Linked DNA regions of Elephas maximus indicus. The protein of the gene in region 1 purifies or fractionates together with the protein of each later gene. This does not show direct contact. Links are inferred from orthologs where the notes say so. Each region holds a gene or a part of one and is shown on either strand. Other genes may lie near its edges. The genes, in order: NCBP3 and THOC5.

Region 1 (15,624 bases):
AAGCATTCAGGCAGAGGCCAAAGGACCATTAAGAACTTTGCCAAAAGGCCTGTAGCACTAGGCAGGTGGTTGGCCTAGATGGCCTCTAATGTCCCTTCTAACCGTGAAAGCTCTGATCTTGGGGATAAGAAGACCAAGGCTGCTCAAGTCACTCAAGAGTAGCAAGTCACTCTTAATGCAGAATGTGTCCCTAAACGTTGCTTGAGCGGTTAGGAACAGGCTTCACAAATCCCAGCCTTGCTACTTACCCAGCTGTGGGACCTTGGGCAAACTTCTGAACCTCTCATAACCTTGGTTTCCTCATCAGTAAAATAAAAATAATAAATACCTTCCCCTCACAGCATTGCTGAAAAGATAAGTTAACCACATAGCAGAGTGACTGGTGTACAGTGAGCATTTAACAAACGGTATCTTTTATTATTGTTGTTGTTGTTGCTAATAAGAACAAATCACACCTGGTTTGGCTGCAAAAGTCAAGGTGTTTATTCCAACTTAATTATTCTACCAAGAGACTCAGATGACTGCTTGGAAGATGGAGAATGCCAGATAACAATAATAACAACCAACATTTATTGGGCAGTTACTATATGCCAGGCACCATTCTAAAAACTATAACATTTTGTTAGAGCCTCCCAACAATCCTACAAGAACTTGCCCAAGGTCACAGAGCTAGGAAGTGACAGGTCAGGATTTGAATTCAGGCAGTTAGGTTTCAGAAGCCATGCTCTTAACCCCAACACCAATGGTTCTCAATCCTGGCCGCACATTAGAACGACCTGGGGAAATATAAAAACGGTATCTCCAAGCCCTATCCAACCCCTCCTATTCTGATTTCAACTGATCTGGGATGGGTAGCAATATTTCTTTTAAAGTTTCCCAGGGCTCAGGTACACTATCCTAGGCCACGCTGTCCCCTGGATGAAGAACAGGTTGTAATGCAGACACTGCCCCAGTTGCCATTCCCAGGCAGAGCTACTGCCTGTTCTAGGAATTTCTTCAGAACTATGAAATCAAGGTTGCTTTAAAACAAACAAATAAAAATAAATTAAAATTTAACCCAAATAGGGTTAGAAGCTGGCGAAATGGACACGAAAAGAGAGAGTGGAGGGAGAGAGCGGGCTGTCTCATTAGGGGGAGAGTAATTGGGAGTGTGTAGCAAGGTGTATATGGGTTTTTGTGTGATAGACTGACTTGATTTGTAAACTTTCACTTAAAAAAGCACAATAAAAATAATTTAAAAAAATTTAACCCAAATAGCAATCCTATTCAGGTAGGTATGATATTCCCATTTTACAGACAACGAGACTGAGACACATTGTTATAAGCTGCCTCAAGTCAGTTCTGACTCATAGTAACCCTATGTACAACAGAACGAAAAACTGCCCGGTCCCGTGCCACCCTCACAATTAGTGCCCACTGTTGTAGCCACCTTGTCAATCCATCTCCTTGAGCGTCTTCCTTTTTCACTGACCCTCTACTTTACCAAACATGATGTCCTCCTTCAGGGACTGGTCTTTCCTGATAACATGTCCAAAGTATGTGAGACAAAGTCTTGCCATCCTTGCTTCTAAGGAGCATTTTGGCTATACTTCTTCCGAGACAGATTTGTTTGTTCTGGCAGCCCATGGTATATTTAATGTTCTTGACCAACACAATAATTCAAAGGCATCAATCTTTCTTTGATCTTTATTCATTGTCCAACTTTGACATGCACACAAGGTGACTGAAAATACCATGGCTCGGGTGAGGCGCACCTTAGTCCTTAAAGTGACATCTTTGCTTTTTAACACTTTAAAGAGGTCTTCTGCAGCAGATTTTCCTGATGCAATGCTTTGTTTAATTTCCTGACTGCAGCTTTCGTGGGCGTTGGTCATGGGTCCGAGTAAAATGAAATCCTTCACAACTTCAATCTTTTCTCCATTTTCGTGATATTGCTTATTGGTCCAGTTGTGAGAATTTTTGTTTTCTTTATGTTGAGGTATAATCCATGCTGAAGGCACTTAACAGACAAGGAGACTGAGACCTAAAAAGTTCAATAACTTGTCCACGGTAACAACGAACTACAACCAGGTTCCGCAAGGGCCTGGCACTCTAAAGAGCTCCAACACAGGTGGAAAGGAATTTCCAGTGGGTAACTAGGGATGCTTCATGGGGAAGTAACATCTGAAGCAGCTGATGAAGGCATGACTGAGACCAGGGGCAAGACAGCACAAGGAATGTTCAGGACTAAAAGTACAGAGGCATGGTCAAACTATGCTGCTTTCAAGGCTGACTTGTGAGAGAGGACTCAGAAAGGTCTCCTTCAGCCCAGACCACACAGGCTGACAAATGGCAAGCTGCAATCTGTCCCTGGCCTTCACAGGACTTTTCCTAAAACAGAAATCCATTCAACCAGAAGCCTGGGACCTCAGCCTATGGAGGGAAGCAAGGTCCTATTTCCAGCTTGAACTAATGATGTATGAAAAAGTAGAAGCAACTTCCAAAGTTGAGCTCTGCATCCAAGTTACTCTGGTTACTCAGATGGACGACGGGGGGGGCGGGGGGGGCATGGTTTGGGTCTATCATATCATATATTATAAAACAATAGAGCAAAGTAGTTAAGATCAAGGCTTTAGGGTCAGATAAACCTAGGTTCAAATCCTGACTCCACCTTTACTTCACATGACCTTGGGCAATTTATTAAACTTCTCTGAGCCTATTTCCTTCCTTGTAAAACACGAATAAAAAATATATCCCTCATAGAGTTGTTGTGAGAAATGAATAAGTATATGTACAACATGCTTAACATCCCGTTTACCTGCTGCCGCCAAGTCAATTTCGACTTATAGCGACCCTGTGGGTCAGAGGAGAGCTGCCCCACAAGGTTTCCAAGGAGCAGCTGGTGGATTCGAATTGTCGACCTTTTAGTTAGCAGCTGAGCTCTTAACTGCTACGCCACCAGGGCTCCATGTTTAACACCCAAAAAAAACCTGGTAAAAGTGGTCCCCAACAAATGGTAGCTATTCATTCAACATGTTCCTGCAGCTTTTGTTCCTACCAATCAAGCAAGCCTAAAGAAACTCTCACAGCAGAGCACAGACCTTAACGTGCATCTCAGATCTGCCTATTAAGCCTTTCAAAAATACCCAAACTTGCAAATACAACGGAGACCTTTCTCATGAATGGATTTATATTAGAATGGAATAATAAATACGGCTGGAGACTCACTCAAAAACTAATGATACAAGACTAAATGGGCAACACCTGCCCAAAAGCAAGATGAGAAGGCAGGAAGGGACACGAAAACCAGACAAATGGAATCAGAAAACCCGGGGTGGAAAGGGGGAGAGTGCTGACACATTGCAGGGATTACAACCAATGTCACAAAACAATTCATGTATAAATTTCCAAAGGAGAAACTAATTCGCTCGGTAAACTTTTACCTAAAGCACAATTTAAAAAACTAATTATAATTTTCCCTTTTATTTATAAATTGCTTTGGAAGACTGTAACATATACATGTATATATACACATACGGACACTTGTATATGTATACGTGTATACATACATACACACATACACACACACGTTAGAGATCTAAGGAGCGCAATACTTTCTCTAACAAAAAATAATATAAAATCACAAGCCAAATGGTAGCACTATAAAACCTACGGCGAGATTCATTTAGCTTTCTCTGACGACAGGATGTTACTGTGTGGTTTACATTTGTCACACATTCATATAATCAACAGAAGTATTAATGGCTTTCCCCATCCCAATATTCCTCTAACTCCCCTAAAACAAGGTCTGTGAGATACACCTTCACTACACTTAAAGGCAAAGAAGTTAGTGCTCCTTTGATAAAAGCAGGAGTAAGGATCTGTAAAAGCTCCGCCACTAACTGTGTGACATTCTCTGCACCTACTCAGACAATATCATCTCCTTTTTTCCGGTTCTAACATCTCAGATGCAGCTAACATCTCAATTTTAAACAGTAGCCTCAGAAATAGAGACTAAACAAGTCTCTCCCTTTGGGCGTATTTGGATGAATATCATACATGCAAAGCAAGGCCAGAAGCATGAGGTGATGCCAGGGAAGTCACTCTGGGGAAATGTGGGAAAATTCCCCTAATACTTCCTGTACCTTTCTTCATCATGTCTCGGTCCAAGGCCACATTTCTTTGGGCAAGATTTACTTCTGATCGAAAATGGAACCGCTTGGCTCGCTGTTCTTTCTTTTCAATGGCTTCCTAGAAAGACAGAAAAAGTCAAAGTAGTGAAACATGAAGGAGGAAAGTCAAATCACAAACCCAACATGACGTATCCGTGATAATCCTAAAGTCAATAAGAAGAAAAGGACAACACTGTACCTGGAATAATCTTCCAGAGAATTGGATATTCACATTCAATACGTGGGACGGGGTGCGCTAATATCACTATAATTTGACAAGAAACTCCAAGATGATTTAGTACCTATCAGTGCGCCTGGGACGTAGTAAGAACTCATAAATATCCATTGACTGAATGAGTAGTGCTTTAGAGCTTATGAAGTCCTCTGACAATTTATTTATTATTAACAATCCTGAGAATAAATTACAACAATCTCAACATCCCAATTTTCCATGTGCAAAAACTGAGGCACAAAAAAGTAAAAAGGTCTGCTGCAAGTACTTCAGCTAGCGAGGGGCAGATCTGAATCCAGTGCTATTTCTAGAAGCCCCACCACCGCCAGCGCCACCAGTTCACATCCTCTGTATGCATGGTAGTCACACCTATCGCACTCTTCCACACAGTAAGTCTGCCTGAGCAGTCCACCCCCTAAAGCTATTTTCCTGTTTAGAAATAACACCAACACCAAGAATCCCTCCTCCATTCTAGCCTCGCTTCTGTGGAATTGCCAGTTTTCATCTTTAAGTGACAAGAAGCATTGGAGCTTCCCTGAAAAACAAAATAATCAGCTTCGTTAAGTTTTTTCTAAGAGCTAAAATAAATCCAGGTGCAACTGTGGGTTCCTTTCTGATGGCCCTTAGGGACCCTTCACTAATTGTATATTTATGGACTTTGACACACTAATTAAAGGTCTGACTATAGAAAGCTTATGGGGATTGGTAAAGCAGCAACACCTCTGTTATTCCCCAATAGTTACACTAATTTTCTTCACTGACGTTTTCCCAGTGCAAACAACTTATCTACCTTCCTCTGGTAACAACTTAAGTACCAATTCTGGGGCTACCACCCTTTCTCTCATATAGCTGTTCCATATAATGGCAAACTATGTAGGATTAAGAACAGTATAGACTATAATTTTTTCAATTACAGTAAGAATAAGAAAACATTTCACTTTATTCCATTTTCTTGCTTGTCTAAAGGATGACTAATTCTCTTTCGGTCTTTAAGCCGAAAGATAAAATATTAAAAAGAAAGCATGACATATTTAATTTTTATTTTTGCTTTTATACATCCAATATAGTATTGTTATTTAGAACTGCTATTCATAATTCTGTTCCAAATTTAACAGCACACGTTAAAATCACAAATGGTATCTAAACTAGATAAAACCGATCAAAGTGACAAATTCATACGGATTGCTTATAAGGAAAACAATAGGTCTGGCTCTATGCAACAGTGCAATGAAGCTGGTAATCTAGTTAACAGCAATCGCTAGTTAAAAGGCAATACTCTCAGGTACTGGGAATAATTTTGTTGACTTGGCCTTCAAAGTTCAGATAGCCACGCAATCAGTAAGCCCTATTTTTCTAAGCCTACAACCTATGAGGAATAAAGGCATTTACTAAGGGCCTACTATGTGCCAGGCACTTTTCACTTAAAATGGCCACAAGCACACATTTTGAAAGAATGGACACGCAGCATTAAAAAAGCACTCCTAGCACAGAATTTCTTCTTGGAAATGGTTAAGCACAGGCATCTAGGTATAGTAGTTTTATCTTTTTGGGGATGTAATGTTGCCTGGATGTTTTTGGGGGATGCATGAGGGCTGCCTTGTGTAACATGCAATTAAGAACAAACGTAATCCAGCAACAAGAAAAAAAAGGAAGTAAAGAATAATACTCTCGCATTATGTTGAGGGACCAAGTTCCCAAGACACTTATCAAACTGAATAAACCGATCATGGTCTGTTTTACCTTGGAAGTAACATCGATTCCAGTGATGAAGCTGCCAGCCTTGTTTTCGTATCTTCTACTTGTGTCCTAACACAAAGAGGAACAGTGAGAAGTGCTGACAGCAACTGAAGAAAAACTCATGATAAAAGGCAGCCTGACAAGTGATTCCCCTTGGATAGTCATTCTTTTCAGCAACACTTCCCCCATCCCCGACAACTCCTTATTATGAGAAAGCCTGTCCCAGGGACTCTAAGAAGTCCCTTCTAGATCAGAGCCCACCCAAAACCTGAAGTAATCCCATCAACTGAAGATATCCATGTAAATGTGAATCTGAAGGCTTTGGAGAAAATGTCAAAGATGAGGTGCAGTCATGTCTTATCGCCCCAACCCAGACTGGACAAACTCCCCAGGCTAGGCCACTAGATGGAGCACAAGTCTACCAAAATGCAGAGAGTCCAGGCTCTCCTAGAGTTCAAGGGGAAAACACAGCACAGTACAATGAAAAGAAGATGGGATTTGGACACAGAGGATTAAAAGACAATCCTTTTATCTCTGTGGGTCTCAGTTTCTCCTATGGTATCTGCCTACCTTCCTGACCTTTTTTACTACTGTTCCACTTGTGCTACAGAACTTTCCATTTCTCCAACAAAACAATCTTGTTCCCATCTCAGAACTTTTGCATTTGCTGTTCCCGCTACTGGCCACACTCCCTTCTGTACCTGCACATTGTTGGCTCCTTTTTGTCATCTAGGGTTGGACTTGAACGTCACTACCTCAGAGGTCTTCCCTGACCATCCTATCACATTCTGCTTCTGCACGCCCTCCCTACTCCCTGCACTCTCTATCCTGTGTTTTATTTTCTTCAAACACATCCCAGTATCAGGAATTATTTGTTCATTAGTTTATTATCTGTGTCCCCCAACTAGAATATAAACTCCAGGAGGGAGACTTATCTTGATCTAGTGCCTAGGACACGGCCTGGCACATAATGAGGGGTGCAACAGATACTGAACTGAATGAACAAAAGAACGATAATACCTACTTCACAGGTGCAATGATATTTAAACAGCATAATGCAGTAAACGGTAAAGTGCCATTATGTTTATTATCATCGGCCATTTCTAGTAAGCCTACCTTAACCTTTTCTCACGACTTCAGTTTAAAGCAAGACTTGCTGACGTGGTGAAAAGTATTTTATGGCAGGTGAGAATTTAAGGATATGAGAGGACCATCCAGGCCGGAGACCAGTTGTCTGAAAACCGCACCGTACGACCACCAAACCACAAGCAAAACACCTCTCCCCATCCCCCTTGTGATAAAAGAGGGGCCGAGAAAGATGACTGGTGCACCTACTCTGGTTTCATTAGAGGTCAGATGCTGGGGCAACGGTGTAGGTCCTGTACCGCAGTGGAGCTGCGCCGAGGCAAGATGACCCTCAAGCCACAACAGAAAACACCGTGAGTTTCTGCTGCTGACAAAGCCAGTGCTCCCCAGAGAGACCGCGAGTGCCAGGTTTAAAACACCAACTACACTAAAGCAAGACCCACAAGGAGACCTGGACGCCAGGGCCACCCAACACTTCCTTCTGGGCCGCCCCTGGTTCTGTTCCCGCCCCGGGTGTCCCCATTATCTCAAACCCGGCGGCTCCTCGCTCACTCCCTTCCACAAACAGGTTCAGGGAAGCAGCGTAGGGTGTCCTCAACTACCCCCCAGCTCTCCCGCCGGTCCTCCAGCCCCCTCACCACCCGTTTCCGGGCTCCCAGCATCCTTTCTCTCTCTCCCCTTCCTCAAGCCTGGCCCCCCGCCCCCCGGGCGCCCGCGCCCCTCTCCTCCTCACCCCCAACTTCCCCCGGCCCGGGCGCCAGCCACCTCCCCTTCCGGCCCCCTCGAGCGCGGGGCACTCCCTCCGCGACCTCCTCTCCGACCCCCGCCCCCCGCCCGTACCGGGATCAGCTCCTTCAGCGAGCGCCGCACCGGCACGATCTCCAGCTCGCCCTCCTCCACCTCCATAGGCTCTGGTTCGCCGCGCTCCAGGCCAGGCTCGGCCTCTGGCGAAGGGAGCCCCAGGGCCGGCCCTGCCGGGGCCTCCGCCTTCACCGACACTCGCAGGCCCCGTACGGCCGCCATCGCCGCCCGCCGGCCGCACCACTGAGAGCCCGCTCCGCACACCCGGCGGCTAGAGCGCCGCCACAACTGGCCACAGAGGAGCCGCTGCCGCTACCCAGAGTGTCACCCGGTTAGTGCAGAAGGTGGTCCTCAGCTCCGTCGCTCCCTGGTGGTTGGAGGAACCACCACCAGCTGGGGCGGGACCTGGTGAGGAGGAGGAGGGACTGAGTGGGGATGGGGCAGGGCCTGCTGGTGGGGGCGGGGCTTGAAGGAGACCCGTGCAGTCTGGGCTTAGAAAACAGCTAGCCCTTGAGTAAACCTGTGATAAAACCTAGTTTTACTGAGCCAGGAGCTCTGGCGGTGCAGTGGTTAAGAGCTCGGCTGCTAACTGGGTAGTTGGAATCCCCCAGCCGCTCCTTAGAAACCCTTATGGGGCAGTTCTACCCTGTTCTATAGGATCACTATGAGTGGGAATCTACTTAACCCCAATGGGTTTGGTTTTTGGTTTTACTAAGCAAGAGCCTTGATGGCACAGTGGTTAAAAGTGCTTGGCTGCCAACCGAAACGTTGATGGTTCGAACCCACCAGCATAGGAGAAAGATGTGGCAGTCTGCTTCTGTAAAGATTACAGCCTCAGAAACCTTGTGGGGCGGTTCTACTCTGTCCTATAGGGTCGTTGTGAAGCAGGCAGTCATGAAAGTGTTATTAAGGGTTATATTAGCCATCCCATAGTAGTTGTATTTCAGAAAAGTTTACTCTTGCTACATTTTTGTTACAAATTTTACAGCACTTCACCATGATTGGTTGAATCCCGGGTTTCTTCTCTTCTCCTGGCAGAAGGCCAAGGCGTAGGTGCACTAACTCCAAATTTACCTGCTGTATGACCTTCCTTCAGTGGCAGTAGGGAACCATCACCATTTTTTTAGGGCTGTGCACAATATTTTTAGAGCCGTGGGCCAAAACTCATTCACAAAAATTATGCAGACTGCCCACGCATCACAAGACTGAGGACCCTCCCCACACTGTTCACGCATATGTATGTCACTCCCTATAAAAGGGGCAAATCTGCCCTGGTTCAGGGAGCTGGCAGTCTTAGGTCACGAGACCCTGCCTGCCTCCCGGTTTGCAAACCGAATAAACCTTTCTGTTCTTCCACCCTTGTGTCTGGCTGACTTCAACTCGCTAGTCTGCTTAACAAGAACCTATTAGTTGAGGGCTTCATCTGGCACCCCAGATGGGACGCAGTGGAGACTCTGGCTCAGGGTAAATTAGGTCCTGAAACCTCCTCCAGAGGGCACCCTTGACGCTCCATTGGGTCAGGAGGACTTTCTGGGCCGCACCAGCCCCAGACCAGACAACCCACAAGTCCCCCACTGGAGAAGAGAAACATTCTGACAGTGCCATGAAACAGGTACCTATTTTAAGTTTCATTTTGGAGGAGCTACTAGGTGGTTGGTCGTGTCCTCAGTAACGGGTGTTATTAGGCCTTGTGGTGATCTCCCTGTGTCCTGGGGCTGAGTCCCCACCTGCATGAGGGCACAGGTCTCCATCTGGTCTTTTGTCTCAACCCCTGCATTTTTTTTTTTTTTTGGCCAGGATCTTGTTATAGGATCTGGTTAAGGAATATTGTCCCTGTGTCTTGGGCCCCCCCCCGCCCCCGTTTGTCTCATGTTCTAGCTCGGAAGTCTCCCTGCGCAGGATGGTTTTATGTCTATCTCTCTTATGAGGAGTGTACTGAAACATCCTTTCTAATTTTAGATACTGAGTCTCGTATAAGACAGTAACTCAGTTGGAGCAAAGTACGGTCCTTACAAATATTGGCTGTGGAAGGTGTGGTACTTGAATTGCTCCACCTGAGATTATGTATCAGGGTAACCGAGTTCCGCGCCTCCGTATAGTCAGGGCCTCTCGAATACATCCTTCCCCTGGCCTACTGATTAGAAGCGATAAGATCTATAAACAAGATGGCTGCCGGTCAGTCCACCCCTAAACCATCCCCCTTAGAGTGCATCTTGACCCACTGGGATTTTTTTAAAACTGGTGACACCAGGACGAAGCATTCGAGGTTCCTCTGTGGCACAGCTTGGCCTCAATATAACTTAGAAGGTCAGGAGAAGTGGCTGGCCAAGGTAAGTTTGCACTATAATACCATATTGCAGTTAGATTTGTAAGAAAACGCGTAAGTAGGATGAGATACCTTATGTTCAAGTGTTCATGACTCTGTGTTATAATCAGGGATTACAATAGCAAAGCAGATTGATGGTTCAGGTTAATCAGAAGTCTAAACAAATTCTCGAGAGAGAAGAGTCCAAGCTTGTAGTGGGACTGTCACCCCCATGTAATCTTATTTACCATCAGATTTCCCAAGTGGTTCCTGCTGACCCCAGCCCCGGGGCCTCGGGAGCGGCCTGCATTGATCCTGGGACCCCAGGAACAGGAATGGTCTTCCCACCTCACACCCACAGTGGTGCTACATTTGGCCAAGGCCAGTCCATTTCCTCCAGAGTGTTGACAAGGAGCGTGATCCAGAAGTGGTCCAATTCCCTTTAAGGGAGGCACCGGCTGGGACAGGAGTAGACAGGAGAATTAGGAACACTTTGACGCATGTCCCCTTCACCGCTTCAGATTTGTTTAACTAGAAAAATAATTTCCCAACACAGCATCTGGATCCTCAAAAGATCCATGACATATTTTCATCCATCTTTAATACCCATCAGCCCACCTGGGCAGACTGCCAGTCTCTGGTGGAAGTTCTTCTCTCTTCTGAAGAGAGGAGAATGGTTTTGGAAAAGGCTAGACAATTCGCTGATAAAGAACATAATGAAGACCCCCAAAATCCTGACAAACTGCCAGCCAAGAACACAGTCCCTGGAGTTGATCCAAAGTGGGATTACAATTCGAAGGAAGGCATGAGTAGGCTGAGGCATTATAGAAAGTGCTTACTAGAAGGGTACAAAACTGGGGTACAAAAACAGAAAAACCTCTCAAAAATTTATGAAGTAATTCAGGAACCCTAAACAAAACCCTTCTGAGTTTCTTGAAAGAATTTTCCAGGCCTTCCAGAGACACACTGATACGGATCTGGCAGCTAGTGAGAATCAACAAATGGTTAATACCATCTTCACAGTACAAAGCTCTACAGATATACAAAAAACCAGAAATTGGATGGAGGGCCAGGTTTGCCTACCTCTCAATTCGTTGAAACAGCCTTTAAAGTTTTTAATAACAGGGACCAGGAACAAGAGCAGAAGGAGACTCTCTGAGCAAGACAAGAGGCTACCCTGCTGGTGGCAGCCTTAACTGGGAAACCATTCCCCTCACCATATCAACCAGCATCAAGAGAAGGGAAAAAAACCTGCCAGGGGGAACTTTGGCCCCCTGAAAAGGAACCAATGTGCCTTACTGTCATAAAGAGGGACACTGGAAAAATGAGTGCCCTGAACAAGGCTGGCCGGCCAAGTATGTGGTGAGTGACCTCCAACCGGGAAGGGGCCTGGGACTTCCCACAGACTGGCTCCAAGAGGGACAGACTGTCACTATCTCCCCTGAACAACCCAGGGTTAACCTAACAATAGAGGGGAGGCCAGTTCAATTCCTCTTAGACACATGGACCACCCACTCGGCTTTAAATGATCCCCTTACCTTACCCTTGAGCGCCAAAAGGACTCCAACTGTTGGTGTGTCAAGAAAAGTAAATTATAAGAACTTTTTTAAGTCAGCTATATGCACAACTGGGAACTCCAGTCTCATCAATTCCTGTACATACTAGAATGCCTGACCACCTTATTGGAACAGGATTTGCTGTCCAAATTAGGGGCCAGTATCTCCTTTCATGGAAACCCTGGTGGTGTAGTGGTTAAGTGCTACGGCTGCTAACCAAAGTGTCGGCAGTTTGAATCCGCCAGGCGTTCCTTGGAAACTCTGTGGAGTAGTTCTACCCTGTCCTATAGGGTTGCTATGAGTCGGAATCTACTCGACAGCACTGGGTTTGGTTTGTTTTGGTTTATCTCCTTTCATGGGACTGAAAACCCGGTTATCCAAATCCAGGCTCCAGCCTAGGAGGGCTGGTGGTTACAAGCCGTTCTCCTGCCCCAGAGATTAGAAGACTCCTCCCAAATACTGGAACACATCCTACAAGTAGTACACCCCATTGTATGGGCTAGTGGAGAGCCTGGAAGAGCAGTGTCTGCAGCCCCAGTGGTAATCGAACTAAGGGAAGGGATTGGAACTCCCAATCTAAAGCAGTATCCCATGAGAAGAGAGGCTCAAGAGGGACTTGAGAAACTGGTAACCCAATTCTTGAAAATGGGAATGCTTTGACCATGCCAGTCAGAATACAACACACCCATCCTGCCAGTAAAGAAATCCAACAGAGAATACAGGATGGTACGGGACCTGAGAGCCATCAACCAAATCGTAAGTGATATCCACTCAATGTCCCGAACCCCCATACCTCGCTAGCTGTAGTACCTGGAGACTGTAACTACTTCTCCGTGCTTGATTTAAAAGGTGCATTTTTCTTCATCCCCATTGCAGAAATCTCAGCCACTGTTCACCTTAGAGTGGGAAGACTACAACACAGGACACAAGTCCCAATTAACTTGGACTGTAATTCTCTGGGAATTTAAAAACAGCACAGCCGTCTTTGGGGAAGCACTCAGTCAGGATTTCCAGGGCCTCAAATTAGAGGAGGGTGTCCTGCTCCAATATGTTAATGATCTTCTCATCGCCAGTGAAGGGCGAAAGGCCTCTGACCAAAATACCATTAAGATTTTCAATCTCCTGGCCCAGTTGGGATACAAAGTCTGGAAGGAAAAAGCCCAGATATCCCAGCTACAGGTCCGATATTTGGGATTCCTCATATCACAAGGAACTTAAACCCCACCTCCTGCATGCAAGGAGGCCATTTGTGCCACTCAAAAACCATCAAACAGATGGGAGCTCAGAGGGTTTTTAGGCATGGCTGGGTTTTGTAGAATATGGATCCCAAACTTTGTACTGATAGCAAAACACCTTTACGAAGCTATGAAAGGGGGAGATGGAGACCCATTCATTTGGTCTCCTAGCTATCGACAGGCCTTTAAGGAAATAAAGGCTGCTTTATTAAAGGCCCCTGCTTTAGGCCTCCCTGACTTGGAAAAGCCTTTTCATCTTTACACCCATGAATGCAAAAGGATACCCCTGGGAGTCTTTACCCAGAGCCTGAGACCTCACCAGAGACTCATAGGATACTTCCCCAAGCAACTGGATTTGCCCACACAAGGATGGCCTCCTTGCCTAAGGGCAGTAGCAGCTTCCTGCAAACTAATACTAAAAGGCCGAAAAACTGTCTTTAGGCCAGCCTCTGAGTGTGCACACCTCTCACACCGTGATTGCCCTTCTGGAACAAAAAGGAGGGCTATGGCTGACCGCCGGCCTACTAGGTAAATACCAAGCCATCCTACTAGACAACCCAGCTGTAACTCTGGTCACTGGAACCCAGCTCAACCCAGCCACCCTATTGCCAATCCCCGAAAATCCTCCTCTAATACATGATTGTTTGCAGACAATAGAAGAAACATACTCCAGCCGACCAGACCTTTGAGACACTCCTTTCGAGGAAGGTCTTCAATGGTATGTTGATGGGAGTAGCTTCATAGAAGAAGGAAAGAGGAGGGCTGAATATGCTGTTGTTTCCCTTGAACCCCCAGGTTGTCGAAGCCGAAACCCTGCCTGTAGGGACCTCTGCCCAAAAGGCTGAGCTTGTTGCTCTAACCCGAGCCCTAACCTTGGGAGAAGGTAAGACCGTGACAGTCTTAACTGATTCTCATTACGTCCTTTGGATAGCCCATGCACATGCAGCAATATGGAAAGAGAGGGGCGTTTTAACATCAGCAAATAAGGAGATGAAATGTGGGGAACAGATTTTGGCACTGTTGAAAGCCGTTCAGATGCCTCAACAGGTAGCAGTAGTTCACTGTAAGGGACACCAAATGAAAAACACTCCTGAGGCGAGGGCTAATGCCCTGGCTGACTTCACAGCAAAACGAGCAGCTAGAAGGACATCCCAGACTGAAGAACCACCGTCAGCAGAGGGCCTGATCATTCAGCATCCTTAGGAACACTTTAATCCAGCATACACAGAGAAGGATCATGAGTTAATAAAAGATTGGGGATTTTCACCAGACCCCAACCAGTCACACGAGTGGTATAAAAACTGCAGAAATTATGTGCTTATCACGACTCACAGCATGGAACATTTTGAGGGCCTTACACAAAGCCACCCACTGGGGACAGGAGGCCACAGCCAGATGAATTAAGAGGCACTTTGCAGGGAAAAATCTCCTTCAGAGTATAAAAAGGATTCAAAGACAATGCCATACTTGCATCCAGAATAACCCTAAAAACTGGCTTCTTCTGCCTCCTGGTGTCTAGTTTACAGGGAAGGGTCTAGCTGAAGACTGCCAAGTAGATTTTACAACCATGACTAAAGCAGCTGGGAACCTTAGGTACCTCTTAGTATTTGTAGACACTTTCTCCAACTGGATAGAGGCATTTTCAACTCGGATGGAAAAAGCTTTTGAAGTATCTAAGGCTCTGTTAGAACAAATTGTTCCAAGGTTTGGCCTGTCCATCACCCTTCAATCAGACAATGGGCCAGCTTTTGTCTCTGAAATAACTCAGCAGGTATCAAAGGCACTCAACATAACTTGGGGACTACATGCTGCCTGGAGACCACAGTTTTCTGGAAAGGTAGAAAAAATGAGTCATACCCTGAAGAAAACGATAGCAAAAATATGTCAAGAAACTGGACTAAAATGGATAAAGGCCCTATCACTGGCTCTCTTGAGGATTCGGATAGCCCCTAGAAGCAGGTTTAATTTAAGCCCTTATGAAATGATGTATGAGAGACCCTTCCAAATAGACCATGCTCAGTTTCCTAACAGTGAAGTAGATCCTAAAGGTCAGATTAGGACTTTTCTCTCACAAATTCAAGCCTTCTTAACTGAAATAAAAGACTGCACAGCCTGGAGGCTGCCAGACCCACCTAACGGGCCCTTACACCACTTCTTAGCAGGAGATCGGGCTTTGTTAAAACATTGGAAGGAGGATCAAGACCTCCAGCCGATATGGAAGAGATCCTATTTGGTGTTATTAACCACATATTCTTCTCTGAAACTTGAAGGAATAAGGCCATGGGTCTGCTATTCCCGAGTAAAACCAACAGCCGCCCCAGCAAATCCTAGTACCAGAGAACCAGACAACAAGATCACGGAGCCTGACTGGATGGTAGAGCCACAGGAAGGACTCAAGCTGTTGTTCCAAAGGCCCAGACCTGATAAATGAAGCTTTCTGCTAATGATGAACATGGTAGAGATTTTAGAAATTGCATTTACTGTAGCACTTTGCCTAATATTCTTTTGGCCTTTGCTTGTC
Region 2 (15,624 bases), on another chromosome or scaffold:
CTGTTCATTGTCAGGCCCCACCTAATAGCAGCAGCCATGATTAACTGTTAATGTTTACTGGGCACTTACTAACATGCAAGTTTTTTGGTGAGCTCTTTATAAGCATTAGTACATTAGATCTTTATAAAAACCCTGGAAGGTGGGGACATTTCTTATGCCTAAAGGAGGAAACTAAGGCTGAGGGAAGTAGGTAACTTGTCCAAGATCACCCAGGAAATGTAAATAGTAATACTAATAGTAAATGTAGAACTGAGCTTTGAATCTGTCCTGACTCCTGAGCCTCTGCTGCAACCACTACAGGTATCCCTATACCTTCTGCTCCACGATTTGCCTCAGATGCTAGACCCAACAGTTCACAAATATATGGACCTAGTAACCACACGACCCAAACAAAGCCTATAGACTGGCCTGAGTGAGGTGGGGCGGGCATATATACCAGTCCAGGGCCACTGAGATGTGACACTCACAGCTCAGCCTGTGCCAAGGGCAAGTGTTGGACTGGATAGGGGAGAGACAGGCCAACACCATCTGCTAAAAAACTAACACCAATTCCCTAAGAACTAGACTCAATGCTTATTTAATTCATAACACGGACCAAAAGCACAGAATACATTCTCTAACAGAATAAGGCAAGGTATAAAAACAGCTGCTCCTCCAATGTAAAACAGAGCAGACATGTCACTAAAAGCCCTGAAATTCTTGTACGAAAATGAAAGGGGAAAGTCAGTATAAATGGAACAAATGCAATCATGAAAAGTCCAGTATGAGAAAAAAAAAAAAAAACTACACTATACACTATATTATATACTATATTCTTAGAAAAATCTAGGTTAAATTACATACTATAGACATTCTACTACAGTTAGTAAAGAAAGTCTTATATATAAAACCTTGCCTTGAAGATTTATGATGGCAAAAAACCAAAAACAACCAAAAAATCCAATAGGACAATGAATGATTATGTGAATTACAATTTATCTATGCAATGGAGTACCTATCATCTTCTAAAATAATGTTTGCAAAACTTTATAATTCCTCAGGGATATGCTTATATCCCCAACACAAAATTAGATTTATGGTACAAAAGAATTTAGGTCTCAGACATTAAGATTTTAAAGGAAAAAAGTTATTCAACTTTCTGTTAACAGCTGTAAGCAATTTCAGTCCCACCCTTGATAAGGTTGGTCAAGTCTGAACCAGATCACAACATGGGACTCAGTCTTCCGACTATCCTGCTGGTCCCACGGTGCTTTGCCCTTTGATCCTGGGTCATGATAAAGTACTCTCCTGCCATGATTATGCGTCCACAGGTTGCCAAGGCCAGGAAGGAGAAATACTACCTTTTCCGCTGCTCCAGCTCCCAGTCCAGACGTGCAAGGGTTTGCTGGTGAGGATCTCCCATGGTGACTTCAGGCTTGCTGATAACTGGAGGAGCCTCCTTATAAAACTCCTCTAAACTGACCAGATCAATTTCTTCATGCTTTGACCTGCAGGCAAAAACCAGTTGTCAAGCTGCCGTTCTCAGGAACTCAAACTGTGGCTTAAGTGAGACCATGGTGCCCTCCGTTTATCCCCACTCGGCCCTGACCTACAACTACCCGGGATCCTAGAATTCAGTCTCCTCAACAAATGCTCACGAGTGGATGTTTCTGCATGAAGGGTGGAAGCTGGGAACGTGCCACAGGATTCTTACCCATGCTGTCCAACCTTCCGTGAATTAGCTAAGGACCTGGAAGGAGTCCTCATCAAAGTTACAGACATCTCCAAGCTAAGCAGGAGAGCTGATAAGCCAAGAGAGTCAAATAAAAACACTACAACCTAGGCCTAGACTGTAAGGATGAAACCAAGAGATTTAACAGGAATAAACATAAAAGTCTGCACTTAAGTTCAAAACATTAACTGTATAAGCATGGGATGGGGAAGACCCATCATGGCAGAAACAGATGTGAAAAAGATCCGGAGGCTTTCACTGTTGTATCCATAGTGACACATGATTATAAAAGAAAAAAAAAAACAATCATCTTAGCTGCATTAACATAGTAGAGTGCTCAGGTTGGATCAAACGACAGTAATAACAGCAGCAGCTATTAAGCACAGTATATGCGGTCCTCGGAGCCCTGGTGGTGCAATGGTTAACCACTCAGCTGCTAATTTAAAGACTGGCAGTTCAAACCCATCAGAGCCTCCTCTAGAGAAAAGGCCTGGTGATCTGCTCCCGTAAAGATTTTGGCCTAGGAAGCCCTATGGGGCAGTTCTACTCTGTCCTATAGGGTCACTATGAGTCGGAATCAGCTCGACAGCACACAACAACGTGCTGTCGTCACCTCATTTAATTCTCACAACTCCGTGAGGCAGGGATTTTTGTCTCTGTTTTTCAAATGAGACACAGGCTTCGAGAGGCTGGGCCACTTGCCCAAGGTGACAGAAGCGAGTGAGTGACAGAGCTGGGATTTGAAGCCAGGCTCTCTGACTCCAGGGCCCACGCCCCTTCCACGTGGTCACCTGCCTTGCCACTGGCCCCATGTCCATGGTATTCTGGATCTGTTAGCTTCCAACTGAAGCAATGGGTACAGGTCTGGGCATCCCATTCTTTTTATTTATTTTTACAACTCTTTAAGTTGAAATCATTTGACTCACAAGAAATTGCAAAAATAGTACAGAGTTTCCATATGCCCTTTTCCAGGTTCCCCCAATGAAAGTCTCTTATAAACCACAGGACACTATTAAAACCAGGAAACTGACACTGGCAAGACAGTACTAACTCAGGTACAGACCTTGTTCTGATTTTACTTCTTTTAGTATTTAAGTATCTATTAGGCGATACATTGTGGAGGAGATGAACATGCCTCTCAAAAATCACTGTCGTCGTTACGGAAAACAAGCTGAACCCAACCTAACACGGCCCCCATTATCCCAAATTTATTACAAAATAAGCCTGACTCCTTTCAGTTTGCACAAACAGGTCTGCTCAAGAAGGAACCATTCCCCTTCCCTTCCCCTGAATCCTCCTCCCTCCTTCTCATCTCTGTAGTATCAGCTTTTCTCCAAGAGGCATCACATTTTAAGAGGGACGCTGACAAACTGTAGTTTGTTCACCTGAAGGCAGCGAAGCAGCAAAAAGGTGAGGTTCTAAAGAATAAACTGCAGTTGTAAAAATGAACTGCTGGGACTTTAGAGAGGAAAACTCAGTCAAAAGGTTAAAAGGCTATGACTGGAAGTGAGCTGTCCCCGTACAGCATGCTAGGAAATCAAACTGGTAAGGTAAAGTCCCTGCTGGGGAGAGAGAACTGCTTTTATCAGGTACAGAGCTCAAAAAGCCAAAGAGTCAAACAGGCTTCTGAGGTCATCTGTCCAGCCTAAAACAATTGCTTCTGATTTTTATTTGTCTTTCTTCCAGATTCTTCAGTCTTTCAAGCTCATCAGATTTCTTTTTAAAGAGGCCGGCTGACACTAAGCAAAACTCAGTTTACCAACAGACCATCTGTGCCAAAGCCCTGTCCTCCCAAACTCACTTAAATTCCAGGCATTTGGTGATTTCCTTCTGAAGGTGCATCACCTCATACAACAGGTTCTGCAACTGCAGGTGATAGGCATCTACTTTCTGCTTCGCCTGAAAAGAGGACAAGGTCAGAGGTAAGGAGGGCAAGTCAGAAATAGGGCAGCAAACCCAGGGAAGGGGTAAAATGGACAAAGAAAAGGGTAGACGAAGGGCAGGAGGACAGTCAAACCTCTCAACTCCTACCTCGTGGGTCTGATCTCTTCCTTTCTTCAACCTGATGTGAGCTAACCGGTTAAGCTTCTTGAGAGTCATGAAATGTACACAGCTCTGGATCCGCCGTTCTTCGATCTCAACTGCCTGTGGGCAGAGAAAACCGGGCAAGACCTCTGGCAACAGGTGCTGGGGCCAGCCTGCTTTATTCCCTCACTGCTGACCCACGCAGGGGCAAAAACAGACACTGGAGGGAGCTCAGAAACATGAGAAATGTCAGAGGGAAATGGAAGAATGACTGGATAAGGTTCCTAAGTAAAAAAGCAATTTCTGCTTGGACTAAACTAACAAGAATCGAATATGGAGCAAGTACAGTCAATACACAATTAATACCTGCCTCTAGACATTCTAGTCAATTGGCCTAAGATTGGTTTTGGTGCATCTGTTCTACCTCCTAGTTCCTAGTAGTGCCTCGGTTCTTAAAAGCTTGCATGCAGCCACCTAAGGTACAATTGGTCTCTATTTGCTGGGAACATCAGAGAAAGAAGGAGAGTCAGGAATCAGTGGAGGAAACGGAATTTGTGTCCAACTGCCTCCGTGAACAACTGTCTCCTTTGATATGAGACCAGAAGAACTGGATAGTAACCAGCTACCACTGATGAGCATTTAGATAAAGAATTCTACAGAGAACCCTGATCAAAAGGGGGGAAATGAGGAATAGAATTTCAAATTCTCATGGAATCCTGATTTTCTGGAGCCACTGAGGCCAAATGATGCAGCAAAACCATTACCCTGAGGAAATCTTTAAACCTTGAATTGAAACTGTCCCCTAAAGTCATCTTTGAACCAAATAATTTAGCCTAATTAGAAAAGAATGTTTGCATTATACTCTTTTAAAGAATTATCTACATGTCATCAAATTGACAACAGCAACTTGAAAGGATATGTGAGAACTTTAGGAGGGTGGTGAGTTTGTGTTAATGATAGTAAAACAGTTTGGAAAAGGTTGTCAAGAAAGATGGCACAGCTTGAAGAATGTCACCAACGTCACTGAATTACACACAAAGAAATTGTTGCAGTGGTGTGCATTTTGTTGTGTATATTTTCACACAAAAAAAACAAAAAACTGTCCCTGGGGATTTTGTATAGAAATCCTAACAACAATGACATCATGAATAAAATTTGATGCCTGTAAATGGCATTAGAGAATAATTTAAATGACAATAACAATGAGAGTGCCACAGGTTGGCTACGATAAAACAGATTCGATGTGATAACCTTCACAGTATTGGACAGCATGAGCACAAATTAGTGAGATTCCTGGAAAACAACCGGATTCATCATTTTAAAACTTATCCATCTGGTTTTTAGCCACAGTTTTTTTCTCTGCCCTTAAAGCCATTTAACAACAATTTCATTTTTGGTCTGTTGTTTATCTGTATGTATCAATTCTTATAATGAGAATCCCTGGTGACACAGTGGTTAAGCACTCAGCTGCTAACCACAAGCTCACCGATTCGAACCCACTAATCACTCCACACGAGAAAGATGCAGCAGCCTGCTTCCGTAAAGATTACGGCTTTGGAAACCCTGTGAGGCAGTTCTACTCTGTCCTATAGGGTCGCCCTGAGTCGGAATCGACTTGATGACAACACATTTTTTCGGTTTGGTATTCTTAAAACATCGAGGAAATTTATATCTACCATCATTTCTCAACACGTAGCAAAAAGCCTGGCAGTTAATAAATATTAGTTGGATGAATTATCAGATTATATTTATGGGAAAAAATAAATAACTCTGTGCTTTCATTACGATAATTGGTAATTGGGTGGTGATAAGACATTTCAACAATAGGTAGGTCTCTGGAGCCTCAGGGCTCCAACCACCTGATTATGGCCAGTACAGAAGAGCAAGATGAGGCGGGCCCTGGTGACTATAAAAACTTCTTGAGCCGACAACGTCTAGTTCCATCTATGCAGACCCACCAGGTTCATGGCCACCCAGTCCCACTCCTTACCATGTCCTTGCCTCCCCTGCTCTTCAGGTCCTGGATCTCAGCCATGAGCCTCTGTAGCTCCTGGCACGTGTACTTGTACAGCTCATAGTCTCTGCCAGGGTCCCGCAGGTCCACCTCCGCCTCCTCACTGTAGTATTTACCTTCCTGTGGAGACAAGGAGAGAGGTCCTGGGTGGGGCGGGGTGAGAGTCTCTCTGTCAGGACCAGAGACAGTTAGCTGATATCGCTTGTTACATAAGAACAGTAACTATGAAGCCCCAAATCAGATCTCCAAAGGATCTGGTCCTCAAGTCAAATGTTTTTCTTCTTTTCAGAACGGGAACTTTTTTATCCTTTCTGATTACAAAGCTAATGCATGCTTGGTGTCAAAGATTCAGAACTCAGAGGAGCATCAAAAAGAAAATGAAAAATTCCCTGTAACCTCGTAGCCTGAAACAACTCTATTATTAACATTGTGAGCTAAATATACATTTTATTTTTAAGCACAATGGGATCATATTGTCTATGCTGGTTACTATGATTTTCCATCCCAATAAATACAAATTTCCCCCAAAATAGCTACATGATATTGTTAAGCCAGAATTCATCTAAACAAATTCCTACTGATGGGTGCTTAGGTTGTCAAATCAAGTTTTAGCAGAGGCTGAAATATCTCCCAGCCTTCACAAACAGAGTACATGAGCCTTAAGCAAGAGCCAGAATCAACGGCTAAAAAGGATAAGGCTCTGCATTTAAGCTTAATTTCCTAAATCTGAGGAAAGCACCACTTTTTATTTAAATGTATGCTGGTATATTTCCCTGCTCTAGTTAAAAACGAAACAAACACCCAATCAAAACAGCTAAAATCCTAAGTTAGCTTGACAGATCCTAAGACAGAGAAGAGCCCGATGACACGGGCTCTCAGATCAGAGAACAGGTTCTGTGGGCAGATGATTCTGGTACTCTCAGTAGCAAACCCAGGTACGTAACATCTCTGAAGCCCCAGTGGTGTGCTGTAGGTGGACTGTCTTCTTCGGACCATCAGGAAAACCAGACACACACACTGTACTGAAATACGTTCTCTGTTCAGGCACTGTTGTTGTTGTCGGGTTATGCTGGGACAATTCTAACTCACAGCGACCCCATGTGACAGAGTAGAACTGCCCCAGAGGGTATTTTTGGCTGTGATCTCTACAGGAGCAGATCGCCAGGTCCTTCTCCTGTGAAGCCACTGGGTGCGTTCGAACCACCAATCTTTTAGTTAACAGCTGAGTGCTTAACCCTACAACAACAGGGCTCCTTGTTCAGTTGTTAATCGTGTCTAATATAGGCTTGTTATTCAGTTCTTGGAATGCTGCACCTAAAGCTGATGTAGACACTTCAGGTTTTGTAGTGCCAAGGGAATTTCAGTCCCCTGGCCAAGCAGAGGGAAACCCTGGTGGCGTGGTGGTTAAGAGCTATGGCTGCTAACCAAAAGGTCAGCAGTTCGAATCCACCAGGTGCTCCTTGGAAGCCCTATGGGGCAGTTCTACTCTGTCCTTTAGGGTCGCTATGAGTCAGAATCGACTCGACAGCAACCGGTTCGGTTCGGCCAAGCAGAGGCCACCTGGGAAGTTGTCACCGGCTAAGGGCAACCCTGAACTGCCCCCAAACCCACAGCTGGGGTCTTGGCCACAAGCTGCAATTTCTCAGTGGCACAGGAACCCTGGTTGATCTTACCTGCTCAGTATCAGATCTATTTCGCTTCCCTTCAGCTGGGGCTCCATCACTTCGGATCACTTTGGGCTTCCGTTTTTTGCTTGATTCTGATGACATGGTTGTTCAGCAAGGTCAGGTAGAAACAGTAGAGAACTGTTAAGGGGAGAAAGCTTGTGAGATTTTCTGGAATCGGATTGAAGATTTTTCTTAAGTCAGAAAATTGAAGTCTAACTAGCAGTCTGCCACTCACAGACTTGGTAACTCAAGAAAAGTTACTTAACTCTCCAAAGCCTGTTTCCTCATCTGTAAAACAAGAGAAGCATCCCTCATCCTGTCCAAAATGAACTCATCTTCTCCACCTCCACCTTCTTTAAATGCACAATGACCCATCCTACTGTCCAAACTGACCTCAAAATCAACTTCAATCATTCCCTCCCCTATATCCACAACCTGCTCACACTCTCTCTACAGAAGTGTCCCTTCATTCAGGTGTTTACCCAGTGATCCCAGGCATCATGTTATCTTCTTCATCTCAACACTCTAGGTCAGGCCCTCTGTATTCCTCTCCGGAACCACTGTAACAGCCTCCTGTCTTGTCCAACACTGTGGTCTAAATTCTTTCTTTAAAAAAAACCAACTTGATGTTTCTCTGTTTCAAAACCTTTGCTAGCCCTTCACAATGCACCATATGAAGTCCATATTTGCTGACCTGGTATAAAGACACTTCATGGTCTGTCCCCAACCCAATATCCCAACCACATTTCTTTCATTCCTATTCCTCATCCCCCTCAGATCTCTACTTCCAGGTGTAAGTACACACACCATTCCTGATTCCCAATACACTCCACATTCTTTCCCTTGCCTGCAGTAACCGTTTTCCTTTCCACCTCTGTATCCTTCAAGACAAAACAATGCTCACTTGCTCTAGGAAGCCTACTACTAGACCTCCCGAAGGCCTTCCCTCCTTTGAGTTCTCTAGACACACCATTAAGTAATTGGAAACCCTGGTGGCATAGTGGTTAACTGCTAATCAAAGGTCTGCAGTTCAAATCCACCAGGCACTCCTTGGAAACCATATGGGGCAGTTCTACTCTGTCCTATAAGGTCACTATGAGTTGGAATCGACTTGATGGCAAAAGGTTTGGTATGGTTTATTAGATAGTTTACCCCTTTGAACCATTTACCTGTCTTCCCCACCTGGACTATGAGCTCTGCCTTCTCTCCCATGAGCCTGGCAAAGTGTTCTATAAAAGCTGGCTAAATTGGCATCCAAACTCCTCAGCTTGGTATATTAACCCATCCCCAATACTACTGATTGATTACTGTATGCTGAATCTTGATCTAAGCACTTTCTGGGTATGTTCTAATTTGATCCTCACAATAAACGCTTGAGATAAGAACTAATATTATCCCCATTTTACAGATGAGAAAATGGAGGCTCAGAAAAGTGAATGACTTGCCCAAGGTTACAAAGCTTGGGTCCGTTCAATGACACATTATTGTTCTCCCTAGTCTTGCCACCATCCTCATCTAGTGATGCCATTAATTCCCTGGTTGACCCTGAAATTTAAGAGAATGACCCTACATTTCATGGGGCTCTAGGATCACAAAGCATCCTTACTTCAGCCACTTCTGGTCATCTCCACAGCCCCAAGATCAGTAGCACTGTCCCTGTCCCAACACATCTGTTACCAACACTTACTGAGGGAGCCAATAAGTCAGTCAGAAAGTTCTGAGTTGGCATCTCCACTCTATTAGTTTATGGCTACCAAAGTTAAGTGCTAAACATTTAACTTGCCTTGGGTTTTCAAATGAGAATAACAGTGCCTTCCTTAAGGGGGTACTGGAGCTGAAGATGAGCTGGGGCTGGAGATGTGATTTTAAATGGTGAATGGGTGATCTTAAACAAGGCTAAACACCTAGGGAGAAAGTTAATCCCTTTTCAATTGTTTTTCAAACATTCCAATTACTTCATGGAAAACATCTAAGTTCACCTAGTTTGTCTTTAACATCTATGAATGCTAATATTCACTTGTGAATAAAGGGCTCTTTTCAGGAACCTTAGACAGCAAAATCTAGTCAGAGCTTATTAACAGTGATCTGCTTTCATACATCAGGTTTTAGCATTACCATCCACATACAACAAGTGAGAGCAGTTTTAATTTATAGTAGCAAAGTCTCCTTTTAAAATAAATTTAAGTTTTAAAAAAGACTCAACTAAAACTGTAGTAAGGAATCTATGGATGATAAGTTGTTTTGACAAAACCCCAAAAGGTGACACCCACACCCAAAAGGCTGAATCCCGACTTTGACAACACTGGTAAAATGTGCCCTACAGGTATGAAAAAAAATTTTTTTTTTTGTATGAGTGCTCAACAAATGCGAACTGTTACCTCCATCACCGTCGTCGTCACTACCAGGGCCCTGAGGAGCCTGCAGTGAACGTATTTATCACCGTCTTAATCATCATTGAATATACTATGTATGGACTGCCAAAAGAATGAACAAATCTGTCTTGGAAAAAGTACAACCCGTACAATCCTTAGAAGCAGGGATGGCGAGACTGCGTCTTACATATTTCGGACATGTTGTCAGGAGGGTTCAGTCCCCGGAGAAGGATATCATGCTTGGTAAAGCAAAGGATCACCGAAAAAGAGAAAGACCCTCAAAGAGATGGACTGACACAATGGCTGCAACAATAGACTCAAGCGTAACAACGATTTTAAGGATGGCGCAGGGCCGGGCAGTGTTTCGTTCTGTGGTACAAAAGGTCGCTATGAGCTGGAACCGACTCGACGGCATCTGACAACAACAAACACCATTAGGCTACAACATGGACTCTGAGAATCATGCAGCGAACATTTACAGATGCGGAAACTAAGCGCGAGGTACCTAGTGGGGAGGGTGGAGAGCCCGGGTCACACCAGCCCCGCGGAGCCCTTCGGACCAGCGACGTTTCTGTTCGGGAACACGTGGCTCCGCCCTCCGCTCCGCGCGCGCCCTGCCGACCCGGCTTCCTCCACACCTCACGGTGTCGCGAACCTGCCCCCGGTAACGAGCCACTTCCGGCGGTGACCATAGAGAAACGGAAGGAAGGAACGGCCGGCCGGAAGCGAGGCGTGGAAGCCGGAAGCGAAGCCCAGAGCCTCCCAGCGACCGCCGGCGTGTAGCGCTGACAACGTCTGAGCTGGGCAGCAGCGGAAGGTGGTTGCGCCTCGGTTGTCAGCGAGGCTCTCAGCGGGCCAACACCTCCCCACCCCAACGCTTTCCTCTAAGACTGGGAAACTGGAGCCGTTACGGCAAAAACTTCCGGGCTTCGTGCACTCTCCCCAGGGCCTAAAAGTGGTGCCCAGCAAGTAGTGGGTGCTTCGCAAGTGTCTGTTGAGTGAATAAAGTTGTTACGCTGAAGATCACACTAGAACGAGGTAGTGCTAAGATTTAGACCCCAGTGGATTTGCCTTCAAAACATGCTGTCACATTCAGGGCCCCAAGGCACACAGCGAAGGCATTAGCCCCATTTTACACTTGTTTTTTCACAGGTACATCACTAGTTTCCCCATTTTTAGGGCCAATTTACCTAGGATAGTCACAGCTCTAACGCAGTATTTGACAGCTTCAAGTGATTCCTAGCCCTGGCATGAAATATCCTGAATTTTTAATGTAAAATCCTACTTATCTGGGGCTAGAAACGCCCATGTCCTGAATCAGTACATGGCCATTTCTTTCTCCTACCCCTGGGTGAGGCTGAAAATGGCCCCCCACCTGATAGTGGCTAAGGGAACACAAAGCCCTTAAGGGGGAAAGATCAGCTAGGTGGGACTTGGAAGTTAGCCAGCTCTGCCTTGCCTTGGGCATTTGCCATAGGTCCTTACAGATAGAAAAAAAAGACACATGAGGTTTACAGTAAATATTTAATTGGTTCCATCAGCAACTCCAGTACAACTTTTTCTGGATGGGAGGCACAATCAAGCAAGCAAGGGGTTCATGAGGTATGAGGTTCATGGAGGAGGCACCCAGAATGACTGACCCCATTCTATACTCCCGGTGTCCCAGTAAAATGAGGGTTGTTGGGCTAATGGAATGTGGAGTGGGGAAAAAGGAATGCCAGTGGGGGAAACACAGGCCCTGCTTTTGTCCCTTTGCCTGAAGCAGGGAAGAGGGTGGGAGACACTGGAACTACACATTCAAGGTCTCAACCCCATTACTTAGGGAAAAACAAATGAATTTCTCCTCGTCTGTCTTGTATTAGAATCCCTCCCCAAGTGGTCTTCAGTCATCTCTATTCTATCTTCCTAATTCTGGATTCCAAATTCTGCAATTCAAACCTGGGTCTGCTTTCTGGGTTCCCTGATCCCATGTTCCGTCTCCTGCCTCGAAATCTTTCCCATCCCCCGTCCCTTCTCCCAGCCCATCCTCCCCGCCACCCCCCCATGGAATGTGCTGACTTCCTCCTGATCCTGCTGATATGAGAGTTTTTGGCAGTTCCAGGCTTGTCCCCAGCAGGAGGGACTTGACTCAGACTGTCTGGCCCAGTGGAGGCCAGGGAGCTCCTGAGGACCTGGCACAGTGCCAACCACCTCTCTTCCCACCCCACTACTAACCACTGGACACACTACCTTTTGGGCAACTAAAGTGCAGTTGGGAATTTCTGTGGTGATAACTAAGGGCTAGGGCTTTAAGCTGAGGAATCTTAGGAGAAGATGTGGGAAGACATAAAAGGCTGCTATTCTTCTGTCAGTGAAACAAGAAACTTTCCAGCAGGAAGGGAAGGAAGAGGCCGGGGAAGGCAGGCAGGGTCTGGGCACAGCTGCAAATCTCAGACCTTATCATCCTTCAGCACCCCCTTGCCTGAGCTGAGCACTGCCCCCTAGACCCCTGCAGATCTGAGAAGAAACGATGTGAGCAGAACCAGGACCTGAGGGAGAAAGGCAAGGATGTGGAGGCAACATCACTGCAGAGGTGAGATCTTCAAGGGGATCATGACCCGACACTCCATGTGTCGCACCAACGGGACTGCGGAGACAGAGGCAGAGGTCGTGAGCGCCTACCCCCACTAGCCATTGGAGGAGGAGAAGGCTCTGAATGTCCTCCTGGAAGGGCCCAGAGAGAGGACCAGGTTCCCAACATTGTGGGATAAGAGGGGACTTAGGTGGTAACAGAGTCCTGGGTGGTACAAAAGGTTAAAGCACTTGGCTGCTAACCAAAAGGTTGGACGTTCAAGGCTACCCAGAAGCACCTCGGAAGACCGACCTGGCAGTCTCACTCTGAAAAATCAACCATTGAAAACCCTATGGAGTAGTTCCATCCTGACACACACGGAGTCACTCTGGGTTGGAATCCACTCGACAGCAACTGCTAGTTTTTTTTAGGTAGTAATGAGATGAACATTTTAAAATTTTAACAATTATGTATTTATTTTCCTGTGTATACGAAAAAATAACTAGCATAGTGAAAAGTGATTTCACAGATAAAATTGTGAAAAAATTTTTGAAAAACAAACAAAAGGCTAGGTTACCAAAACCAAGCCAAACCCAGCGCCAGCAAGTCGATTCCGACTCATAGCTACCCTATACGGCAGAGTAGAACTGCCCCATAGAGTTTCCAAGGAGCACCTGGCAGATTCGAACTGCCGACCCTTTGGTTAGCAGCCATAGCACTTAACCACTACGCCACCAGGGTTTCCAAGGCTAGGTTAAGAGCCAAAAAAAACCCAAACCTGTCGCTGTCGCGTTGATTCCAACTCACAGTGACTATATTGCACAGAGTAGAACTGCTAACTGCTCTCTGGGTGTCCAAGGTGGACTCAAACTGCTGACCTTTTGGTTAGCAGCCAAGCTCTTAACCATTGTGCGACCAGGGCTCCAGGTTAAGAAGAAAGAAAGATATTTTAAGGAAAAATATCAAGAAAATAATTGTGGCGAGAGTATGCTGATAGGGCAAGCTGTGAGGGTGTCCTCGAGTGGCTGAGGTTTGAAAAACGCTGATTTTGTCCAACTGCCTCATTTAACAGATGGGAAAATTGCAGCCCAGAGAGGGTCACGAACAGCCCAAGGTCACCCAGGAAGTCAGACTTCTTTTCTACCTCCTCAGGGCTTCTCACACTTAAACATGCATGCAAGTCACCAGCCATGTCTAAGGTCACAAGGCTCTTGTTAAAGTACAAATTCTGAGTCAGTAGGTCTGGGAGGGCCTGAGATTCTGCATCTCTAACAAGCTTCCAGGGGATGCCAAAACTGTCCGTTGGGACACTTTGAGCAGCCAGGCTCCCGCTGACTCCTTCAGCAAGCACATTCTCTCCTCACACCAGATGGCATCTGTAAGCTTAACCCTAAGCTCCTCAAGGGGCAGGGACAGGCTCTTGTTCAGTTCTGTGTTCTCCACCCACCTACCCACAACAGTCCCTGGCCCGGGGTGAGGGCTCTATCAACACCTACTGATTCCAGGTGGTTCTCAGGGGTTACCAATAAAGTGGCAAACTCCTTGAGCAAAAACAACAGGCCACATTTGTGGCGTGCTTCCTCTGGGCCAGCCTCTGGCCAAAGCACTTTTTATAGATTACCTCAAGGAATTCTCCCTATAGCTCTCAGGGAGGCACTATCTCCATCACCATCTTAGAGGGGAAGAAACAGCCTCAGCAAGGTGAAAAGCCAAGTCCAAGGTGTGTGCTCAGCTACTCCACATCTCTGAGGCAGGGACCTCTGGGCTACCTTATCGTCCCCCAGAGCACTCATAACTGCCTGGATCACACAGAACGTGCCACCAGGATAGAAGCTCACTAACTTCATGTTCCTCATCACTGGAGGTAATCAAGCAAGGCTAGACCTCCACGCAGAATGGATTCCATCCTCAGACAGGGCTCCTGGCAAAGGACCAAGGGCCCCACTGACTCCCAGAGGTGGCGCTCACCTGTGTAGTAGACATTCTCGTCCCAGCCCGTCTTCCTCCAGGCAGCATTTCGAGTCTCGTTCCGAGACTGCAGGTCTTTATAGGCTGTGGGAGACGCATATGCTTATTCCCTGGGCACATAGGATTTGATCCTGTATCCAGCATGGGCCTTCCTCCTACTGCCCCAAACCCTGCCCTGCCACCTCCTCCTCCCACATGCCCTGGACTGTTAGCAAACCCTGTCTCCTTTGATAGTCTCATCCAGCTAGTACATATGCTGATTATGCGGACAACTCCCGAATTTATACTTCCAGCTCTGACCTTTCCTGCGAGCTCCAGACTCATGTATCCAGTGCCCACTTGATGTCTCCATTTGGATGTGCCAGTGTCTCAAACGGGATACTTCCGAGGGCCAGTTACACCCCTGACCCTCTAATCCATTCCTCCCCTAGATCTCCCCATCTCATTAAGTGACAGCAGTATTCACCCAGCGGCTCAAACAGCAGCCTGGGAGTTCTTCTGGAATCTTCTTCTCCCTCCCTCACCCCATACAGCCAATTCATCCACAAGTCCCACTGGTTCTACCTCCAGAAAATGAATCTGTGGCCTCTCATCATGCTCACTGCCACCACCTTAGGCCAGGCCATCATCCTCTCTCACCTGCACTAGTCTTACTGTCTCCTGATAGCCCACTTCCTCTCTTGCTCCCCTACAAACCACCAACCACACGGCAGCCAGAGGAATCATATTACAACATAAATCCAATTGTGTTGCTACTGCTTAAAATGCTCCAGCAGCTTCCTGTTGCGTTTAGAAGAAAATTCCATCACCTCATGGTCTCTGAGGCCCAGCCTGATCTGCGCCTCTCCCCCTCTCCTACCCCATCTCCTCACACTCTCTACATTGACCTCCCTCCCCCGCCTCAAAACCCTGAAGACCTTTCCCCACTGCAGGGCCTTTGCACGTGCTGTTCCCTCCTCTTGGAATGCCCTTCCCCCAGCAATTCACCACTGGCTCCTTCTTATTCGTTAGCTGTTTTTACATTTTACCCCCTCAGAGAGGCTGCCTCTGTCTACCCCAGTCAAGGTAGGTCCTCTATGTTTTCTTCCATCACATCTCCCTGTTTCTTTTCTGCAAGGCATTTGTAATAATCTGAAATGATCTTTCTTTTTAGTTCACATCTGAGGTGGTCTCCCCTCTGCTAGAATGTCAGCTCCGTGAGGGCACTGGTATATCCCCACTGTCCACACAGAGTGTTGATGGCAGAGCAGGGACTAGCATGGGCTCCCAGAGGGTCCCCAGCCTACCCCAGAGATGGTGCACAACGTAGAGCTCTC

The links.
Region 2: the proteins of NCBP3 (region 1) and THOC5 purify together in Homo sapiens (co-immunoprecipitation; 3 studies listed by BioGRID and IntAct, with this or other methods). This does not show direct contact. The link is inferred for Elephas maximus indicus from reciprocal best matches to the Homo sapiens genes NCBP3 and THOC5.

The regions. Positions count from the first base shown.
Region 1 is NC_064837.1:17,350,111-17,365,734, reverse strand, and holds the start of NCBP3 (nuclear cap-binding protein subunit 3), read right to left. Parts: upstream 8,282-15,624; 5' UTR 8,230-8,281; coding exon 8,047-8,229; intron 7,537-8,046; coding exon 7,456-7,536; intron 6,190-7,455; coding exon 6,124-6,189; intron 4,231-6,123; coding exon 4,125-4,230; intron 1-4,124. UniProt on the Homo sapiens protein: Associates with NCBP1/CBP80 to form an alternative cap-binding complex (CBC) which plays a key role in mRNA export. NCBP3 serves as adapter protein linking the capped RNAs (m7GpppG-capped RNA) to NCBP1/CBP80.
Region 2 is NC_064840.1:26,974,450-26,990,073, reverse strand, and holds the start of THOC5 (THO complex subunit 5 homolog), read right to left. Parts: upstream 10,474-15,624; 5' UTR 10,295-10,473; intron 7,556-10,294; 5' UTR 7,520-7,555; coding exon 7,424-7,519; intron 5,871-7,423; coding exon 5,727-5,870; intron 3,857-5,726; coding exon 3,743-3,856; intron 3,611-3,742; coding exon 3,513-3,610; intron 1,488-3,512; coding exon 1,341-1,487; intron 1-1,340. Other genes in the region: NIPSNAP1 (protein NipSnap homolog 1), read right to left, coding at 12,351-12,415, 14,309-14,392, 15,595-15,624. UniProt on the Homo sapiens protein: Component of the THO subcomplex of the TREX complex which is thought to couple mRNA transcription, processing and nuclear export, and which specifically associates with spliced mRNA and not with unspliced pre-mRNA.